Tamandua tetradactyla: one gene and its partner. The protein of the gene in region 1 interacts with the protein of each later gene in a pairwise test. Links are inferred from orthologs where the notes say so. Each region holds a gene or a part of one and is shown on either strand. Other genes may lie near its edges.

Region 1 (7,417 bases):
TGAAAACTGCCAAACAAGTAACAGTGGGTTCTTTATAAATGTTGAGTTCCCTTCCATTCTTTCCTTTTCCCTCCTCAAAGCAAGAGGTAGTAGGTTGAGTACAAATAGAAAGGGAAGCAGAGAAGCAAGAAGGAGAAAAAAAGGAGAGCAAAGAAAACAGAAAGCAAAGGGCGAGACGCTTCATCCCCAAGAGCCTTCTCCTCTGGAATAGTGTTATTGCCTCTCCTTGCCCCTTCCTTCAAAACACATATGACCCTACTCCTTCTGGGAGCAAATGAACCAGACAGACCAATCTGTGGCTAACCCCTCACCCTCAGGAAGCCTCTAGGTTTCCTGTTGGCATCACTTCAGTTCATTCCTCCTGTAGGGGTCGATTCCCTTAGCCTTTCTTTCTTCCCAGACCCGTGCAGTGGAGAGGCAGTGCATAGGATGAGCCACTAGGAGTGCCTAGGATGGGGGGTACTAGAACTTAGGGTCCTCTTCTTGGCAAAGCCATACTCTACCACATTATCACCACCAGGGGAAGGACTAGGGAACAGCAACTGTTTTTGTTTGTTTGTTTTTATTATAGTAAAAATATTATAGTATATTTAGATACACAACCTAAAACTTCCCCTTTTAACAACATTCAAATATACAATTCACTAGTGTTAACTACATTCACAACGCTGTACTACCATCAGCACCATCCATTAGGCAATTGGTTTTCTGAGGGGTTCAGCCATTCTCAGCTATAAGGAGGCCTGGGAAATCCTCAGACACTTTCTTACTTAGGCTCCCTGCCTCTTCTGCCCATAACTGAGTTTAATCAGGGGACAGATATTTAGCTGTGTATTCCCATGTTGTGCTGGGAGTTGGGGTATCAGAACAGCGTTCTTCCCTGTATCACCTTAGTCCCCAATGTGAGTGAATGAGTGAGTGGTTTTCTTGAGAGGACAGACACTGTTTTTCACCTTTAAATGTGGGATAGGAGGTAGCAGGGCCCTAAAGACAAGAGGAACTTCACTTTCTAGGCAGGGAGGCCCAGGGGGCACTTGGGCCCCATCCTTCCAACTCCTTCTTTTGGCCTCTGGTTGATAAGACGTTTGGAATGATGCTCATGCTCCCAGAGTTATTGGAATTGGAAGGGCAATGGTGTTTTGAGGAAGTCATTGACTGTGTCCTGAGAGGAGTTTGGGTGTAGTGATCTTATGTGTATTCCCTCCTTGTTGGAGGCTACCCACCCAACCTCCTCCCAAGAGGTACCAGATATCTGAGATAAAAAGTGGATACCTTCCTCAGTTCTAAGGGACACCCACTATTTCATATTTCCTCCCCCGTCTATAGAGCCACTGACTGCTTCTCTTACCTCCCCTCAACCAAGGCCATGGATATCCGGAGTTTCAACTCTATGGAAAGGATTCTTACTTATATTTAAGCCAAAGAGTTTGAGGAGAGTGTGGGAAAAGGAAGGGTGGGCCTGGAGATAGGTTAGGGAGCCAGAGGAGATGGGGAAGAGGAGGAGGGGAAAAAGCCACATATGGATGGGGGAGGGGAGGATTCAACATCTGGATGGAGAAGAGAAGATGAATGCCACAGCTGGAGGGGATTGGGGACCAATGCCTGGGCATCCAGGAACAGGTGCTCTCTGCCTACCACACACTTAGTCCAAGCCAAGTGTGTGTGTAGGGACCAGCGGGGGGTAAAGGAGGGCAGTGGGTACATGGGGCTTTAACCTTCCTTTCCTTCTCAGCAGGGTCCCAAACTCACCCTCCTCTTTTCCTCTCTCCCTTCCTGAAGATGAGTGGGAGGAGAGAAGGATGTTCTCTTGCCCACTGTCCTTTAAGTCTGTCCCACAATCATTTCTCACCCCACCCCTCCACCATATAGTCCATTATAGCTCATGAAGCCTTTGGTCTCCAAGCTGGGCCTGCCGTGACGCTCCGCTCGGACCCCCTTCTTCCCAACCACACAGGCGTCGGGTACAGGCCCCCGGTCCCTCCATTCCCACAGCCTCAGCATCCCCGCGCCATGGCTCTCACCCCCTACCCCACCCCTGCCCCGCCACATCTGCATTTCCACCCTCCCTTTGCACCCGGATCCCAGAACCCTATCCCATCCCTGCCCCCTACCCCCCATAACTCGGCCAGGCTCTCACCTCGGGGGCTCGGCGGCCGCAGCACAAAAGGCGGCGCTGCTGCAGCTCTGCTCCGGATGCTGCTCCCGCCTCCTCCTCCTTCTCCTCCTCCTTCCCTCCTCCCCCCGCTGCCCTCGACCGGGCCCGGGGCGCTGTCACAGGCGATGCTCGTACGGTGCACGGATGTCAGCCCCAGCTTTGTGCCCCCACCCCCCGACCCTAGCCCCGTCCCCACTCGGCTCGAACTCCCGCTCCTTCTAGGGCCCCCGCCCCTGGCCCCCCGGGACGGACACGCCCTGAGCGGGGGATGCTGCGCTGGAGCCGCCGGCCTCTTAAAGGAGCCCGCTGTTGCCATCCGGCGCGCTCCAGGCTCATCCCCGGCTCTTCTGGGCCCCGCGCCTTCTGGCTGATGGTATGGTAGGGCCGTCGCACCCTGGGCTTGATGCTGATTCTGTGGGAGCCTCCTGTTAACTCCCTCCTATAGTCGAAAACAGAAACAGTAACCCCTTAGGTGGGGCCAGAGTTATGGGGTAGTTACCCCGGCTCTCCTTTTCTTAATTGACGCAAATCCGATTCCACCCAACTCTGCGCGCCTCAGTTCTAGGCCCGGTACTCCTCCAGTATTCCCAGATGACTTCTCATTACCATTCCAAGTTTACTCTGGACCTCCAACCCTGCTCAAATCAAGACATCTCTTTCCTGACTTATTCCCAGAACACTCAGAGCCTATTTATTTATTTTGGGGTGCTCTTTCTCTCCAAGGTCACAAGATTTTCCCTATACCTATCAGTCCAGTGGTTTTGAGACTTTGGGAAGGGGAGAACGGGGCTCTGGAATTCAAAATTTTGGGTTCTGCTGTGTATCCAGATTAGTCGATTGGTTTTAAGAAGCTAGATTCCTCTTTTGCTTTCCTTCATCTGAGAGACCCAAGTCCCGGCAGAGGGAGTGAGACCACCAGGTGTCATCCCACTACAGCCCGATTCACAGGCCCCAGAAGGGTTTTCCCGGCCAGTTAGAGACAGCCTCACTAGGACCGTTCTAAAAAGGCTTTGGAAGAAAAGCGAAGCTCCATATACTGTGGACAGAACTAAACTGAAGAAGTGAGCTGAAGGACAAACCCAGGGAAAGGAAACAGGTTCTGCGAGACGAAGGCCCATGGGCCAGAGTTTTAGGCCGAGGCGCTGAGGAGAGAAAGTCTTAGAGGAACTTGTACTACAACTTCCTCAGCTTCTCGGGTGCGTAGGGAGCAGAGAGCAGCCCCCACCCGACGTCCAGGCAAAACCCACCCTCCAGACCGCAAAAAGCCAGCAACAGACAGCACCCTTATCCCCGGACCAATCATTGCCTTTCCTCAAGAAAACGCGAGGTCAAGGGGCCCGGCTCTGGCCATGTCCCCACCCCTCTAGGAAAAGTAACCAATCTCAATCCGTCTGTGGGGGGAACGCAACTGGGAATAACCAATTACGCGGCGAAGCTTCTAGTGCGTGTAGAACCTGCCCCTCCAGTTGCGACAAAGATGGCGCAGAAGTTCCTGGGTTCTGTAGTTTTCGGAATTGAAAAGACTCGGGTTTTCAAGTTAGCTCTTACCGCCCGGCCCCCAGCTCCTTCTACTCAGCTGGTGCGCATGTCCAAAACCTCAAGGTGTATGGGAGAGGAGGCGCGGAAGATAGGAGGCGGGACAATAAAAAACAAAAACAAACAAACAAACAAAACTCAGCTCGGGAAGCGACAGCGGAGGAAACAGCTCCTCCCAGAAGGCGGTGCAGCCTGCCAGGGCAAACCACGCGAAGGGTTGTGGGTGGATAGCTGCCCTCCTTATGGAGACGCATGGAGTAGGATGGGCGGGGGGACTTCAAGTCCCAGCATGCCCTGCGGCGGGCCCTACCGGCCGCGACTCCGGGCTTGGCCCCGGCCCTAGCTTGTCAGCGGTGTATTGGGGCGCGTGGAGGCTGTAGCTATAGTGGAGCCCGCGGGGACGGAGGAGGGAATGAGTGAAGAGGAGCAGGGCTCCGGCACTACCACGGGCTGCGGGCTGCCCAGGTAAGTCACCTTGTACCGATCCCTACAGGATGAAAAGACTGGCGCGGTGCGGAGGGGGTAGCCGCGCGGCCCCAGCATGCACCTGGCCTGAGGGTTGTTCCCGGTAAGCACTGGGGCAGTGAGCAGCGGTTACCGGCGTGCACCGGGGCAGTGGCCACTACCTCCAGGTCTAAATAGTTTGGTGTTGGCTTGGTTCCCAGACTGCACTGGGGCACTGGGCATTGTGCTCCCGACATTCAGTGCATTTGGTGGGTACTGGGTTCCTGGCCTGCACTGTGGCAGGGGACATGCACTTCCAGCCTTCGCTGGGGTACAAGATCTCCCGCCTTAACTGAGACAGGAACAGTGCATCCCCCTCCTACCGTGGGGAAGTGAACTCTGCTTTCCCAGCCTGCACCTCTACTTTTTATTGAACTCAGCCAACGGTTGCCGTATTGCACAGGGTTCTCTGGACCCTGTGCCCCCATAATGTACCTGGGTTTGGTATGGCAGTGCTTGGCCAGGTGGGTGGAGGGAGGGAAGATGTGATACGGGTCTGTGCGCCTCCCTCCAGTATAGAGCAAATGCTGGCAGCCAACCCGGGCAAGACCCCGATCAGCCTTCTGCAGGAGTATGGGACCAGAATAGGGAAGACACCCGTGTACGACCTTCTCAAAGCCGAGGGCCAAGCTCACCAGCCTAATTTCACCTTCCGGGTCACCGTTGGCGACACCAGCTGCACTGGTGAGGAAGACTTGGGCGGCCTGGCTGGGGTGTGCATTTATAGGGCCCCATGGCTTTGTTTCTTGGAGTCACTTCCCAGTCCTCTTCTCCAAGGCTAGTGAAAGGAGAGATTTGAGGCGAGAAGTTACTGAGTGGCTTGGGAGAACAGGGCTTAAAGAGGTGGGATAGGACTTGGAGAGTTGGAGAGAATAGGACTGCTACAGTGATCTGGCAACTCCTCTCACACTTGAGGAAGATGTAAGAGGAAATAAACCTAAATTGCAATAAGGATCTGGGGGAGGGAGTGCCTCTTATTCCCAGGTGCTTAATCACATACCCATTTAATCTTAAACTTCACTTAACCCCATGATGTAGATGGTAATATCACCATGTTATATAAGAGGAAACAAGCTCAGAAGAGAGATAATATGACTGGTGCAAGATCACATACCTAAGCAGTGGCAGAGCTGGGTTTTGACTCCAGAACCTGTCCTCTTTCTGTTTTTCCACCTATTTTGATTTGAGGGAAAAGAAAGGGCTTTCATGAGTTAAGAAAGGCAGAAAAAAGGATCTCTCCACTCAAGGTGTTTGAGCCCAGGAAAAGTTCTGCTTGGCAAGGTTTGACTTCTGTCTGGGAGTTAATGGATGAGTAGGGCCCTACCTTCCAGTAATTAGTGTAACACTTCCAATCTTGGGCATAGGAAGGTTGGTTAGAGGGGCTTGGTTGACTTCCTCTGGCTGTGAGGAGAGAGGTTGTGGGATGCTGGTTTCTTTTCTGTCCTTTCAGTGACCTCCAGTATTGCCCACACCCCTCTCTCAGGTCAGGGCCCCAGCAAGAAGGCAGCCAAGCACAAGGCAGCTGAGGTGGCCCTCAAACACCTCAAAGGGGGGAGCATGCTGGAGCCGGCCCTGGAAGACAGCAGGTGAGGGAGGAACAGCTGAGGCATCCTAGACGCCCTGCCCCAACCCCTTCTGCCCAGTAGGCTATCCTCTCCTGGCTTCTTCATAAGAATTTTCTCTAAACCCGAATAGAATGTTTCCAGGGTTTCTGCTGCTGTGAAGGATTCTGGGTGGGGGTGGGGTGGGGTGGTGGCCCAGCCTCATTAGAGGTTGTGGCCTTAGTTTGGGACCCCAGTGAGGGAAGGAGAAGGGAGGAAGCTGAGGCTGGAGGTAGTTACTCCCCAACCTGTCTCTTATTTAGCAAGATGTCCTTCCCTCTTCCACACTCTGGTTGGAGTTTGTTGCCCCCAGGATCCTTCTCCCCCTTTTCCCAGTCCTTTTTTTTTTTCTTCCCTGGGTGCATGGTCTGGGAATCAAACCTGGGTCTCCTGCATGGCAGACGAGAATTATATCACTGAACCATCTGTGTACCCCTTCCCAGTCCTTTTGATTTAGTCTTTAACAGGAGAAAGATGGTGGTTGAGCTTCCCCAAGTCTTTGGTTCAAGTGGGAAGGTGCTCTCCTAAGGGATGGGCAGGTCAAGAGGATCTTCCTTCACCCTCCATTTCTTCTACACATGGATGTGAATCAAAGGCTCCCTTCCCCTCGGGAAGTTCTTTTTCTCCCCTAGACTCTTCACTGCCTGAGGACGTTCTGGTTTTCACTGCTGCAGCTGCTGCAACTCCTGTTCCATCTGCTGTCCCAACAAGGTATCTTGTGTCCCTTGACTGCCTGAAGTGGGGAGGAAGGGCTTCTGGCTCCCGGCCTCCTGACCCTTGGTCTTAGGCTGGTCAGGCATGAGGAAGTCTGAGTGTAAACAAAGAAATATTTGGGAACCAGAGCTTGAAGAGTTTACACCAGCTGGTAAGCTCTTGGGACAGGAGGTAACTTATTATTTTTTAAATTGCCATGTGGATGATGTTGGACCACGTTTAAGGGTTTCTTCTGGGGTTGGCTACATGATAGCTCCATGTTTGAGTCCCATCAGGTGTTTCTGGGAACTGAATATACACCCCTCTTCCCGTCCTGGTAAGATGATGCCTGAGCGTACCAGAATCTATATAGGGCTGGGAGATAGAGAAGGCTTCCCTTGGGTGGGAGGGGGAAAACAGGTTAGAGTAGGAGGGTGTAAGGCTAGACGTTTGGACAGACACTGCTTGCCTTGCCTTGTGGGGAATAGGGAGAACATAGTGAAAGAAACTAAAGCAGTGGTTAGGACCTGCATCATGGGCAGTTGCAGAAGGAACCATATTCCTCAGCTTTGGCCCTGGGCCTTTTTCCTTCAGGAGCCCGTCCATGGAGGTGCAGCCCCCTGTCTCCCCTCAGCAGTCTGAATGCAACCCTGTTGGCGCTTTGCAGGTGTGCCTTCATCCTTATTTCTTCTGCATGCCTGTCTTTCCTGAACCAAGGGAAGGTTGTGTGTGTTTGTGAGTGGGGGAGGCAGTTACCCTGTACTGAGGGCTTTTTTCACCACACACCCCCCTTTATCCCATCTCTAACCTAGAGCCTGAGGCTTTTGGGGCATGAGGGAGAGTGGAAACCAGCATGGATAAGGATAAATCTTTGTTTATTCAACCTTGCACACCCATTTCTCTACCTCTTCCAAGGAGCTGGTAGTGC
Region 2 (7,233 bases), on another chromosome or scaffold:
CAGGAGTACCCCTGCTGTTTTGGATCAGTCTCAGGTTCAGAGTCAAACACAACGTCCTACTAGTAAAACCGAATCCTTGGCCACCTCTAACAACTAGAGAAAGTTGTTCCTGGAGCTAAGTAGAAAGCCTCAGATGGGGCAACCCAGATACCCTCCATGAGTCCTACACTGCAGATTCATTGCCCCACCCCATCTGCACTGCCTAGGTTGTCACCCCTACTACAGCAGCTAGCACACACTCTGATATTACGTAAATAGTGGATACTTTTCTCTCTCTCACAAGAGTTTAATCTCCCTGACAGCAGGAATTATAATTTACTAAACTGTGGAGCATGAATTTGCATGTATGCACACAGAGGCAGTGTTTACTCATTTGAAATGTCTGCGGAACTGTGGCACAGCCTTTTCCTTGGGATTGTTCATGTCCCATACCAACAATCACCGTAGAGCATATTGGAAAATGGTTCTCACCTCCACAGGGAAGAAGTAAAAAGCCAGCCGGACAAAACCAAGGCATCACCTGTACTGTCAGGTCCCAGCAAGGGGACCAGACGTGGGCACTTATATTAAGGACAAAGCAGAAAACAGGCGACAGTGAGATCTGTTCAGACACTCAGTTTTGTAACTACGGGCACAGAGGACGAACCCTGAAGGCATTCATTGGAGAATAAATGGAAATTATTTTGAGCATTTAATTGGATTGCGACAGGGAGAAGGGAGATTGTTTTCCAATAATACGCACAGCAACTTAAATATTTCCCTCCCAAGATTTACTTCACAGTGTTCTATATAAATACTCTTGTGGGTTCTAAGACTTGAACAAAAATACCCTCTATCCTTTGAGCATTTTTTAGCTGAATAATTTGTGCTGTGCAAATAAGGGTAGTTAGAACTCTCCTTTAAGATAGGAATACATAGTTACTGACTTTTATTTATTTATACACTGATCTTCGGGTGTAACAAAAGAACACGGATTTGCAGTCTGAGGACCAGTGCTCAAGCACAGTCACTAACTAGTTGTATGACCCTGATAAAACCTTCACCTTTTCCAGTCTATTTCCTCATTTGTCAAATATGAAAATAATTCCCAATAGGAAAACATCCCCATTATTAAATATTTTATGTCAAAGGTGTTTTATAAACTGTAAAATACTGCACAAACCTCACTCATTTATTGCCTTGGGAGCTCTGGAGCCTGGCATGAAACCTGATATAGAACTTGTGAACAATATTTATAGAATATTTGAGTAAATTCCATTGGCAAGCTGTGTGATACCAGGCAAGGAGAATAATCTGTATCTGTCTCTCCTTGGCCTCCTCTGATGCTACTTTCCCATTGTTCTCTGTACTGCAGCCATCCTTTCCTTTCCTTCAAAACACCAAGCTCACTCTTGCCTCAGGGCTTTTGCACATGCTGTTCCTTCTTCCTGGAACTGTTCCCAGTTCTTTACATTGCAAACTCATTTTATCAATAAGGTCAATGATCAATTGTCTTTTTTTTAGAGGCTTCCCCAAACAATCTTTCTAATGTTCTTCCCACATCATTCACCTAATTTCTATCCCTGTTTTATTTTTTCCTTAGCACTTATTTCTATCTAAAAATGATTTTACCTGTTAACTTGTTTATTGCATTGTCCTCCACTAGTATTCCAATGCTCAAAACATCACCTAGCTTATTATAAACACTCAACAAACATTTGAATAAATGAGGTTAAAAACTTGATTCAACAAATACTTTGTATATACCTACTATGGGCCAGGCTTTGTTTCAACATACTGAAGACTGGATGATAACAAAATAAAATATCTGCCTTCCTGGGGCTTACCTTCTAAAGAGGAGACAAACAATAAACAAGATAAAAATAAAATATATGCTATGTCTAATAAGTTTGGTGGCACCTAAAAAAGTTAAGCATAGAATTACCATATGATCCAGTAATTCCACTCCCAGGTTATGTGCCCAAAAAATTGAAAATAGGGACTCAAATAGATACTCGCATGCCAGTGTTCCATAACAGCATTATTCACAATAGAAAAGTATCTATCAACAGATGAATAAACAAAATGTGGTCTGTCCATACAATGGCCTATTATTCTGCCATAAAATGGAATGAAGTAAATAGTGTATGATTCCACTCATATTAAATATCTAGAATAAGCAAATTCATAGAGACAGACAAGTAAATTAGAAGTTACCAGGGGCTGGCTGGAAGAGGAGGCAAGGGGGAGTTATTGCATAATGAGTACAGAGTTTCTGCTTGGTGTGACAGAAAAGTTTTGGTAATGAATGTTGGCGACGGTAGCACAACATTGTGAATGTAATTAAAGTCACTGAATTGTGTCATGAGAATGGTTAAAATGTCAAGTTTTACGTTATTTATATGCTACCAAAATAAAATTTAACACACGCACTGTAGTTAATAAGTGTTTGGGAGAAAAAAAATAAAGCAGGAAAAGTTTAGACAGGGTAGCTAGGGAAGGAAGGAAGGAACTGAGTCAAACAGTTATCTGTGGAAAAAATGCATTCAACAAGGCTAGTGCCACTACAACAGGAAGGAAGGAGGTGGGGGCTGAGATGAAATCAAGGAAATTCAGGGAAGTCAGATTGCCTGGGGCTTTGTGGGTCAAAGTCAGGACTTTGGATTTTACAAAGAGCGAAATGGGAAGCCACTGGATGATCTGAGCACGGTCTTGCTGTGATGTGGCTTGTTACAAGAGGATGCCTGAGAGTACTGACCAGAATACCTGAGAGGCAAAGGGAATAATCGACTGAGTTTGACTACAGCAATAACCTAGACAAGAAATGATGGCTCCAGAAGAATGGGGTAGGGGCAAGTCTGGGATTGGAAGGCAAGATTTTGGGTTTGCATAAGTACACGGAACTGGAGTAGGGCATACGATTTTGTAGGTTTGTCCAGAGTTATGCTCCAATAAATCTCAGAGCGATTTGAACAGTGAGTAAAAAAGTATTTGCAAAGTTCCCTTGGCAAGAAAGGGTTCAACTTCCCCAAGTGGAGAATTCTTAATTTTCTCACAAGCACTGGGGACAACCAAAGCAATAGGCTGAGTCCCAATCCGGGGGTTTGTTCATATGAAACTTAACCCCACAAAGGATAGGTCAAGCCTACTTAAAATTAGGCCTAAGAGTCACCCCCAAAAGAACCTCTTTAGCTGCTTAGATGTGCCTCTCTCTTCAGCCAGCACAACAAGCAAACTCACCACCCTCCCCCTGTCTACATGGGACATGACTCCCAGGGGTGTGGACCTTCCTGGCAACGTGGGACAGAAATCCTAGAATGAGCTGGGACTCAGCATCAAGGGATTGAGAAAACCTTCTCCACCAAAAGGGGGAAGAGTGAAATGAGACAAAGTGTCACTGGCTGAGAGATTCCAAACAGTTGAGAGGTTATCCTGGAGGTTATTCTTACGCATTAAGTAGATATCACCTTGTTATTCAAGATGTAATGGAGAGGCTGGAGGAAACTGCCTGAAAATGTAGAGCTGTGTTCCAGTAGCCATGTATCGTGAAGATGATTGTATAATGATACAGCTTTCACAATGTGACTGTGATTGTGAAAACCTTGTGTCTGATGCTCCTTTTATCTACCTTATCAACAGATGAGTAAAACATATGGAATAAAGATGAATAATAGGCGAACAAATGTTAGAATAAATTTAGATTGAAATACTGCTGATCTTTGAGGGGGAGGGTGGGGGGTATGGTATGTATGAATTTTTTTCTGTTTTCCTTTTATTTCTTTTTTTGAATAGATGCAAATGTTCCAAGAAATGATCATGGTGATGAATATGCAACTATGTGATGATATTGTGAATTACTGATTACATATGTAGAACGGAATGATCGTATGTTAAGAATGTTTGTGTTTGTCATATTTTTTTAAAAATTAATTTTAAAAATTAAAAAAAAAAGATTTTGGGTTTGGACAGTCATGTTGAAGAAGCCTATTAAATTCCCCAAACGGAAATGTCAAGCCGGCACCTTGGATATACAGCTCTGGACTTCAGGGCTAGGTCTGGGCCCTAGGAGTTGGCACTCTGAACTCCACAAATGGGATCTATTATCAGCAGTAATTGAATCACGGAGACGGAGCACCGGCTTCAAGACTTCCTAGCAGCGAAGACGGAGGACCGGCTTTAGGACTTCCTAGCAGCGGAGACGGAGGACCGGCTTCCGGACTTCCTAGCAGCGGAGACGGAGGACCGGCTTCCGGACTTCCTAGCAGCGGAGACGGAGCGCCGGCTTCAGGACTTCCTAGCAGCGGAGACGGAGCGCCGGCTTCAGGACTTCCTAGCAGCGGAGACGGAGCGCCGGCTTCAGGACTTCCTAGCAGCGGAGACGGAGGACCGGCTTCAGGACTTCCTAGCAGCGGAGACGGAGCACCGGCTTCAGGACTTCCTAGCAGCGGAGACGGAGGACCGGCTTCAGGACTTCCTAGCAGCGGAGACGGAGCGCCGGCTTCAGGACTTCCTAGCAGCGAAGACTAAACTAATCTACTTTCTGGAACTGGGCCTTGGTTTCCCCACCAGCAAAATGGGAGAAATACTCTCACACAACACGGCCTTCGTGAGAACGAAATGCTTAGTGTCAAACTTTGACCACGAACAGGTGAGAACCCAGAGGCACGGACCCCACGAGCTCGTCTCGGAGGGAAAGAACGGCGGCGTCGCAGACGACCGGTTTTCTCCACCACAGAACACGCCCCAAGGCCCGAGAATAAAAGCCAAAGAAACTCCAAGGTTGGCGCCGCTAACCGCTCTGCAGCGCCTAAACCTCGCGAGATTTGTTGGCCGCGTAAAGTCGCTACCGTCCCACATCTCGCGAGACCAAGACGCGTGCGCGGCTCTCGGCCGCTTAGGGCTGGCGGGGAAGATGGAATATTCCGCGTTGGGCACCGTGGAGGCTACGGACGGCGGAGGGGCCGGGCTGTACTACAGCTCGGAAGAGCGGGAGGGCCGGGAGCCGGACGGGGTGCGCTTCGACCGCGAGAGGGCGCGCCGCCTGTGGGAAGCGGTGTCCGGGGCCCAACCGGTGGGGAGGGAGGAAGGTGAGTCCGGGGGCCTGGGAGGCAGGAAGCCCCCCGACCTGCCTGCTCGGCCCGCAGGGCGTGGCGGGAGCGCCGGGCGGGGCCGCAGGCCAGACCTCCGGTCCACGGTCACACCCCCTGGCGCCCGGCCCGCCCCCTGGCGTGACGCTCCCGGGTACTCCCGGGCTCGAGTTCCACATCAGGGATATGGACCCCGTAAGCCAAGGTCTCCGCAACCCAGGTGGCAGGTCCCCGCGCGCAAAAGGCCAAAGGCCTCACATTCAAGCTCCAGGTTTTGTCCCTTCCTCCTCGCCCACCAGTGCAGCTCTTCCCACGCTCGAGGACTGTGGTCCCCATCCACGCTGTCATGGAGCCCCTGACCTTAACGCGCCAGAAGCGCAGCCGAGGCGAGTACCTCTCACCGTTTCCCCCTGACTCCCCACATCCCTTGGCACCAGGTTCCCCTACCCCTAGTTACTCTGCTCCTTCTCTCACCTGGCTTCCCTCGACTCAAACCCGCCTCTGAGGGCTTTTGAAAGCCTTCAACCTTACCCCCATGTTCCTTTTGGCCTCGGTGGCTGAGCCCAGCTTACCCGTGTTTCTAGGTGTCTGGCCTTTACGGAAATGGGGGTCAGGAGCCTGAGCAACTGGCCTGGGTATGCTTTGGCTCCAGCTGCTTTGTACCCCATGCTTGACCCAAAGTGGTGAACAAGAATATACACCAGGCCAGCTTGGGGGTCACCTCTAAGTTGATCCTTACTATTTGGCTCTGCGTTTGACCTAGCAGCTGAAATTAAATGGGAGATGGAAAGAGGACTTAGCGCTAGCCAGGCCTGGCTGTGTGACCTCTTCACAGTTCTTTGCAGAGCTAGCAAGGTAGCTGAAGCCCAAACATACAAAAACATTCTAGGCTGCTGTGCTCATCCTGTCAGGCATGTGCAGGGAAATCGGGTTTCTCTGATAATTTGTTTGCTTGCTCAGCAAGCTAATTTTGCTGTTTGTGAACTGATTGCCCTGATATAAAATTGAATTTTTGACCACATCCAAGGTAGAGGATGTTTAAATTTGGGGTGCTGCACAATCTGTACCCTGGTGTGTACTTCACCAGTTTAAAAAGAAGTCTAGTCTGACTCCTGGATTAATATGTATATTATTTCTGGGCCTCCTGTCTCACTCATCTTTCAAACATTTTTAGTACCAACTAATCCCCGCCCACCTTTTCTTTCATTAATTTGACAAACATTCTCTGATGTCTGCTGTCTTGCAAGGACTGGCTGAGCTCAGAGCTACAGAGATGAGGAAGGTACGGTCTTGTCCTGGAGGAGCTTGCAGTGAGGTCCAGGAAACAGCAATTTCAGTGTAGATAATAGGTGCAGTGAAGAGGAATGTCTAGGAGTTGGGGATGCACAAAGAAAAAGTGATCTTTAGCCTAGGAAGAAAGGGAAGGAAGGCCCTGAACCTTAAAGCGTGGAGAACACAGCAGCTGTGCTCCAAAAAGTAAACTGTATATGTGTGTGTGAGTATACAGTGTAACAAACCAGTTCGTTTTCCTAATCTACTCAGGTCTCCCATATTTATATGCGGTCCAGATAAATACCTGTAACACCAAGCTCTACTCAGTTTGGTCATTTTTTTTTTAACAGCTTTATTGAGTTATAATTTGCAAACCAGAAAATTTTCCCAGTGTAAGTGTACAATTCAATATTTTTAGTAAAGGTATAGTTGTGTAACCATGGCCACAATCCAGTTTTAGAACTTTCTATTATCCTTTATGTTACTTTATGCTCATTTGTAGTAAACCCCATCTCCTGCACTATGCACTCATTGATGTTTTATGGCTCTATAAATTTGCCTTTTGTAGATACTTCATGTAAATGAAGTCGTACAACATGTAGTCTTTTACATCTGGCTTCTTTCACTTAGCATATTTTTGAGGTTCATGTAAGTTGTAGCGTGTATTAGTATACTTCATTCCTTTTTATTGCTGAATAGAATTCCATCACCTGGATGTACCACATTTCATTTATCCATTGCTCAGTTGATGGACATTTGAATTATTTCCAGTTTGGGGCTCTTAGGAATTATGCTGTTATGAACATTTGTGTGCAAATGTTTTTGTGGACATATGTTTATATTTCTGTTGGGTATGTTTCTGGGAGTAGAACTGATGAATCATATGGTAACTCTA

Evidence for each region. The genes of interacting proteins can lie anywhere in the genome.
Region 2: the proteins of TARBP2 (region 1) and ZNF346 interact in binary tests that used the Homo sapiens proteins (3 or more experiments, as listed by UniProt). The two-hybrid records come from large-scale screens. The link is inferred for Tamandua tetradactyla from reciprocal best matches to the Homo sapiens genes TARBP2 and ZNF346.

What each region holds. Positions count from the first base shown.
Region 1 is NC_135333.1:114,947,813-114,955,229, forward strand, and holds the start of TARBP2 (RISC-loading complex subunit TARBP2), read left to right. Parts: upstream 1-4,410; 5' UTR 4,411-4,641; coding exon 4,642-4,879; intron 4,880-5,645; coding exon 5,646-5,781; intron 5,782-6,411; coding exon 6,412-6,507; intron 6,508-6,839; exon of another isoform or gene 6,840-7,083; coding exon 7,084-7,156; exon of another isoform or gene 7,157-7,404; coding exon 7,405-7,417. UniProt on the Homo sapiens protein: Required for formation of the RNA induced silencing complex (RISC). Component of the RISC loading complex (RLC), also known as the micro-RNA (miRNA) loading complex (miRLC), which is composed of DICER1, AGO2 and TARBP2.
Region 2 is NC_135346.1:58,692,359-58,699,591, forward strand, and holds the start of ZNF346 (zinc finger protein 346), read left to right. Parts: upstream 1-4,220; 5' UTR 4,221-4,552; coding exon 4,553-5,066; intron 5,067-5,365; coding exon 5,366-5,452; intron 5,453-7,233.